Arabidopsis thaliana: one gene and its partner. The protein of the gene in region 1 interacts with the protein of each later gene in a pairwise test. Each region holds a gene or a part of one and is shown on either strand. Other genes may lie near its edges.

Evidence for each region.
Region 2: the proteins of MBP1 (region 1) and SAP5 interact in a two-hybrid assay, tested with the Arabidopsis thaliana proteins (one study listed by BioGRID).

The regions. Positions count from the first base shown.
Region 1 is NC_003070.9:19,350,855-19,354,790, reverse strand, and holds the start of MBP1 (myrosinase-binding protein 1), read left to right. Parts: upstream 1-1,999; 5' UTR 2,000-2,062; intron 2,063-2,194; 5' UTR 2,195-2,212; coding exon 2,213-2,422; intron 2,423-2,933; coding exon 2,934-3,842; intron 3,843-3,926; coding exon 3,927-3,936.
Region 2 is NC_003074.8:4,010,543-4,014,254, reverse strand, and holds SAP5 (A20/AN1-like zinc finger family protein), read right to left. Parts: upstream 1,648-3,712; 5' UTR 1,549-1,647; coding exon 1,066-1,548; 3' UTR 672-1,065; downstream 1-671. Other genes in the region: AT3G12620 (Protein phosphatase 2C family protein), read left to right, coding at 3,262-3,586, 3,676-3,712. UniProt on the Arabidopsis thaliana protein: May be involved in environmental stress response.

The DNA of each region.
Region 1 (3,936 bases):
CTTGGCTAAGATCTAACGAGTCTCTACTCGAAAAAGACCGAGCCACCGGAGCTCCAAAGCCCTGAGTTGCTCTCCGAGAACTTTGCCTGAAGAAGTAGCCACCCTACTCACACCAGAGAACAAACACTACCAAAACCACTCACCACACGATGGCTCCCTCGTGACCAAATATGAAAGGATCTTGCCTCACCAAGTTGGAATCTTCGACGGAACAATCGTCATAGGAGCCGAATTGCCATTTTTAGAGCAACTTCATCACATTAGGGGAGAAAATCATCCAGAGGTTAATCGCGTCAAGAATTTCTACTATTGTTCCCAGTCTCCTAGAGCCGTACGTCTTTACAAAATTCTAATCGTTTCAAGAAAATACATGTGAATAGGCGCATAATGGCCGCTTTATGGTTTAGACATGTAACCGTGAAATACATCTACTTCATGTAGGTGACTATATAATAGTATAGTTGACATATGTGATCATGCATTCTCTTATATTTCGTGTAGCTAGCAAATTTTTCCCTTTTTATTTTTATTTTAAAGTTATAGCTTTTTCTTGTGTAGCCACTGCGATGGTTAGTACTATATATAGTAATTGTTAACTGTAGCTGTTGATATATCAAAATAATGATATGATCATATATGGAATTATGTATATTAAAATGAATTTGTTTATTTGTATGAAAAAGGTAGTTTATTTCTTAATGACATAATTTTAAACTATATAATAACACAATGTTTACTCTAGATAACACTCCAATTGAGAAGTCTTACTTTTAACTAATAATAAAATTTCTATATTTATCTAAACATTTTCTGTAAAATTAATTATCTTATTTGATCTAACAATTTGGTATCTATCTAATTGATCCATTTGACAATAACTAAAATATTGATAAAATTAAAATAATTGAGATTTACTTTTATTAAGAAAAATATAGACTTATATAGTCAGTCATACAGAAAGTTTGATGGCATATTATCGTTAGGTGCACATAGATTTTTGTCATATTTTGTTTGGTGTAACAAATTCATTGGTTGCTTGGCCTTTTCTCTTCTTTTTTTCACAACGTGGAAAGCATTTTACTACAAATGTAACCGTTTTCGATCGTTACAACCCCTATCATTGTCACAATGACAAACTGTTTATAAAAATATTCAAAACAAAACATTAAAACTTATATGAGAACAAATTGTAAACGCGAGATAATGTTTTTGACAAATAAGTTATAATAACATTAACGTAAATTTATCTCCAAAAACATAACAAAATAAAGAAAAAAAAAACTTATCCCGAAAAATAGCTTAATAAATAGGGTAATATTAGTAGATAACCAAATAAAACATATAAATTAAGAAACTAGCAGAGAGAAAGTTTTTTGTTACAAAATAACCATGGACCTACGTTGTCGGAAGAAAAGAAATAACAAAGCTACCCTTCATTTGTTGTAAGATGAACAGTAAACGAAACACATCTGTGTAATTTTTCAAAATAGCATGTAACATTAAAATTTCACATGTTATATTTAGTTTAAAAACATGTTATTTCAAAAAACGTTATGAATTTTTAAGAAAAAATATTATTATGAAATTCTTTTACATGAACAGAATCTTTAAAAAAAAAAAATTACATGTGATTTTAATAAAAACCATATATTACTAAAAAATAAGAATATATTTTTAAGGAAATCACGTGTGATCTTAATAAAAAAACGTGTATTACTACAAAATATCATGATAAAAAGAGATATTAAACTGAATAGAATGTTTTTTCCAAAAAATACCATGTGTTTTTTATAAATACTATGTAATAAGAGAAAATAACAAAATAAAAAGAGGATATTATGTTATCGCATGTATTTCGGAAAATAACATGTTACAAAGGACATTTACGTAATTACACGTGTTCTCCAGCATGTTTCCGACAAGATACTGTAACTCAAGGTTAGTTTGTACATTCTTTTCAAATCTATAGTCATTTATTATAAATACTCTAATAAATATCACACCATTCGCCTCCGCAATCCACAACCTCGCAAGTAACTCTCATCCTCGCTGTACTGATCAGGTTACTCTTTGTCTCTCTTCTTTTTCTGGTTTTCGAGTTTTCTTTAGTATTATGCATTCAATATATCATATCAAAAAAATGCATTTACAGGAGTATACTAGTAGTAAAAAGTAATAGCTTTTATAATTTCAGAAGAAAAAACTCTGAAAGATGTCGACCGGAGGACCCCAAAAATTAGAAGCACAAGGAGGAAAAGAAGGCAAAGAATGGGATGATGGAGCCGAACACGATGGTGTGACGAAGATATACGTAGCAGCTGGTGGTCTTGGAATTGAACAAATCAGATTCGATTATGTAAAGAACGGACAACCAAAGGAAGGATCTTTTCATGGTGTGAAGGGTAGAAGTACTATTTCTACGGTATGTTGTCTTTTTTTTCTTTCTCTCTCTTTAATGCTACTATACCAAGTTAATGTGTATTCTAGCTAAGAGTAGTAAAAATATATGTTTAACTGAAAGAACCGAATCTATAGTTTAATCGAAACCAAAGCCATATTAGTGAAATATGGTTTCACTAGAAATAGATCCACTATAATGAAAGCTGATAATTAGTGAGATTCGTAACCGTCTTAATCGTCTATCTCTAACACACTTAACCGCTAGTTTAAGATATAACTTTGATTTTATTTTTTAAACGTTGGGTATTCAATTTTTTAATGTGGAATCTCAGTATATTTTTTTGCTGGTTTTTAAAAGATTTTAGTATTGTTTTTGGCATTTTCCCCTATAATCATTAACTCTATTTTTCAGTTTTTACCCTGAACTTATTCCAAACCGAAAGCATTGTTTTTGTTTCTGTTTCAATGAAACCTAAAACAAACCGGTTGTCCATCCTTAATAAACTATTGACATTTTTTTTCTATTTTGACAGATTGAGATTAGCCATCCAGCCGAGTATCTTATTTCCATGGAGGGTTGGTACGACTCTACCAATATCATTCAAGGAATTCAGTTTAAATCCAACAAACACACTTCCCAGTACTTTGGATATGAATTTTTGGGAGATGGTACACAATTTTCACTTCAAGTTAATGACAACAAGATCATTAGCTTTCATGGGTTTGCTGATTCTCATCTCAATTCTGTTGGGGCGTATTTTGCACCCATCTCTTCCTCCTTGACTACTACTCCCAACAAAGTGGAAGCTCAAGGAGGAAATGGTGGAGAAACATTCGACGATGGTGTTTTTGATCATGTAAGAAAGGTTTATGTTGGTCAAGGTGAGTCCGGTGTAGCTTATGTCAAATTCGAATATGAGAAAGATGGGAAAAGAGAAACAAGAGACCATGGGAAAATGACATTGTTAGGAACAGAGGAGTTTGAGGTTGATTCAGATGATTACATCACATCAATTGAAGTTTCTGTCGACAAAGTCTTTGGTTATAACAGCGAAATCGTCACTGCTCTTGTGTTCAAGACTAGTAAGGGTACAACCTCACCGCCTTTTGGAATGGTGACTGAGAAGAAATTCGAACTTAAAGATGGTAACGGAGGAAAACTTGCCGGATTCCATGGGAAAGCTAGTGATGTTCTTTATGCTCTTGGTGCCTATTTCGCTCCATCGACAACTTCGACTACTCCATCTACTACCAAGAAGCTACAAGCAAGAGGTGGTAATGGAGGAGCTTCTTGGGATGATGGTGTTTTTGATGGTGTTAGAAAGATACTTGTTGGTCAAGGAAACGATGGTGTAGCTTTTGTCACGTTTGAGTACAACAAAGGCTCTCAAGCAATCCTCGGTGATGGTCATGGGAAGAAAACATTACTTGGAACTGAAACGGTTCTTTCTTCTCTCTAGTCTGTTTCTAGTTTCTCCAAAAAAAAATATTTCTTGATCTAATGTTCCTCTTTTTGTCTTTTGTAGTTTGAGCTTG
Region 2 (3,712 bases), on another chromosome or scaffold:
GAAATCCAGAAAGCAGCAACCCAGACGATTGAAATCCTGATTAATGTCTAAGGGACGGAACAAATTAGATATGAAAAGCCTCTCTGAATTTCTTTTAATTATAAACGGTGCGTTTTGTGTTTCAATTTAAAACAACACATTTATATTTTCACTATTGGGTTGGGCCTAATTAGGTGCTCCAACTTTTAGTTTTTTTTTCTGACTTTTTTTTTTTCCGTCAGTTTTTTTTTTCTGACTAGAGTTATAAATAATCATAGTTGCATGAAAGTACAGTATTTTGTTGCAATTTTTAGATGACAATTGAAAATTGTCCCAATGAACTTACTTTTTTACACATTTTATTAAGTAGATATAACTATAGTCTGGCTACAATGATAGTTGCATGAAAGAACAGTATTTTGTTGGACTTTTAAGATATATGCAAGATATTTTTGTATGCGTTGAAAATAATTCACATAAAAAACTCGTAGAATGAGTAAGCTCATGTTAATATTATTAAAAGAAAACAAAAGTCTAATGTATAGTTTAATATGTTATGCTTTAAAATATACAAATCTATAAAAATAATGGAACACAAGAAGATGATAACCCATACAAACTCAAACACGTTATTGGCTTTGCTATTTTATACGCCAAGCAAACTTGTCTGATAGAAATTGGCTTTGTGAGTTGTGACGCACAATGGACTAGTAGTATCGTGATAAGTACATCTACCACACGAAACGAAACGAAACCAGAAAGACATGTTCCTAAATTACCAAACAACCCCTTCGTCTCTTACATACACCATTTCTCGATGATCAAGAAGCAAATTCATGAATCCGTAAGCCACACAATAATAATATTAATAATCATTCACTAATATATAAATTAAAAGATGAAAAAAAAACGTAAAAAAAAAAATTGAGGTTCAGATTTTGATTTGAGGAGAGGAATAATCTCTCTGATCTTCTTTTACAACACATCACCAAATCAAATCCATGTCTCTCCGACCAATCTCTCTTCCGATCGGAGCTTTTGAACCACCACAAGTTTTTCAACGGTTGAGATCGAATTTTTAATTTTTTAAACTTTGACCATTTTCGCAGCCTTGACCACCGGATTTTCTCTAGCGATCGCCTCACGACCAGCGGTTTTGTAGTCGTAGCTACAATCATGACGATCGGAGTAACGGTGCTCTGAGCAGAAAAGCTCACCGCATCGGCACCTGAATCCGGTCAACCCAACTTTCTTCCGACAACCAGAACATCGGTTTACGATCTGTTGATCTCTCTTCTTCACCGCATCGATCTCTCTTGGACGAATCACGACTTTAGCTGGTGACGAACGAAGATTGACAGATCTAGCCGATCTCTTCAAGATCGAACCTGATTCAACAACACCTGCGGCCGCCGAGACGAGAGATGCGTTGAAACATTTCTGACACATGTTGTTCGTCGCAGGATTCGCTGTAACGCCGCAGTTATTGGTACATAACGTCGTTGTTGTTGTCGTCAAGGTTTCGAGAACTTTGAACTCGGTCTCTTCCTTCTCCGTTCTCTGAGCCATCGTCTTATTGAATCTCCCTGCTCCTCCGGCGAGTTTACGGATCGATTATGAGGAGAGAGAGATAGAGAGGTAGAGAGAGGTAAGAATGGAATATGGGCCTCATAGAGAGACGCGTTTCCATCTCTCTTATCATCTCTCCTTCCACCATCCCCACTTTCTCGTCTTCTGGTGGATTTACGTTAATACCCTCATCGCTTTTTTGGAATTACCAGAGAGGATTAAATATGCATTTCAATGATTCTAGAATGGCTTATGACGCCATACAGCGGACAACAACATGTTTCTCTTTCTCACATTTTTGCTTTTTTGGGTGTATTTTCTGATTTTTCTTTGAGTATACTCTAATTTATTAGTATCATGACTTTTATAAACTGAGATATCAAAGAAGGGTGAGGAAAATCGCTGGAATATGGGCCAACTTGTTTATTTATGTTTCTCTCCCAACAAAAAAATCACCAAAGAAAAGTAATACCATAATCATATATATATCTAGAGGTGTTATTGTGTTAACTAGTTTCGAACACCTGTATGTTTATGTTTGGTTCGACTTCGGACATGTTAGATTTTTATTTTTTACTTTAGGGAAAAACAAAAAGAAAGAGATTTTGGGGGTTAAAACTGTCACACAAAAAAAACGACCTGTGAGGTTGTAAAGCTACGCGTACAACATGTCAACATGCCAATTTGCAGACTTTATTTTTTTTCCATGTTTTTGCGTTAATCAGTAGTATTTTATTTGCTCTTTGGCTTGGAGGTTGAAGCTTTAATGGTCTTATTTTCCTGACCATATTCAACAAGACAACAACCCAGAAGGTGGATTGTATTTCGCGAAATGTTTCTACTTTTTTCTTATATAGATAATGGGATGATGAATTAAAATTGAAATTAATCTCTACAGCATGTAAGAAAATTCGAATATTTTAGTCATTTGATTTTGATAAGTCAAATGAACTAACCATAATTCAACTAGCAGTGGAAAACTTCAAATTTGTTCCTTCAATCAATCGGCTGATGAATCATCAGTATCATTGGACAAAACTAGGAATTGGTGATCAGGTGATACTTTTGATATTTGCATATATTTGATTTCATTCAGATTATGGAAAATGTAAATAAAAATCTATTTATTATAGTAATATTTTAATAAAATTAGTAATCTTGAAAAATGGAGAAACGTAGCTAACTATGGGAGAAAAAGCTGCCTAAAACGTCGGGTTGTTTCTGAGGTCAATGCCTAAACAGCTAAACTCGAAAACCAAATGACAACAAAAAAGCATCAAAAAAAAAAGAAAAAAAAAAAGAGAGAAAAATAAGAGAAATCGAACCCCCAAATAAGGAATTCTGACAGAGTCGCCTGCTAGATTTGTTTTCTTTCTCTCTCGTCATCTCTCTTCCTCTCTGTAATCCCAACCGGAGTTACGATTCCTTCTTATCGTAACTCCTGCTTCCGATCTCGATCCAATTTTCACTTTTGTTTTGTCCGAACGGTAAATCATTTCGCGGCTTTTTTTTTTTAAGGTAATTGATCTCGATCCTTGAAGAAAATTCGTAATTGTATATGCGCGACAAATGTGTATTGATGCATTCGTATTGGTGTATTGTTTAGGGAAGGAGGAATAAGCAAATTTTGATTTGATTCCGTTTTTTTGGGGGTGTTAGTGATCTTTTAGATGAAGTAAAGAAATTTTGATTATTGAGGGGATTATGTGAGTTATGGTATCATCGGCAACTATATTGCGGATGGTAGCACCATGTTGGAGGCGACCTTCTGTTAAAGGAGATCATTCTACTAGAGACGCTAATGGTCGATGTGATGGTCTTCTTTGGTATAAAGATTCTGGTAACCATGTTGCTGGAGAGTTCTCTATGTCTGTTATTCAAGCTAATAATCTTCTCGAAGATCATAGCAAGCTTGAGTCTGGACCTGTTAGTATGTTTGATTCTGGTCCTCAAGCTACTTTTGTTGGTGTTTATGATGGTCATGGTGGTCCTGAAGCTGCCCGTTTCGTTAATAAACACCTCTTCGACAACATCAGGAGTACGTTGTTTCCTTCTTTTTTGTTATATTTGATATGTGTGTGTTTGGGACTATCTATGTTCTAAGTTGGTGACATTTTCTGATTGCAGAGTTTACATCAGAGAATCATGGAATGTCTGCCAATGT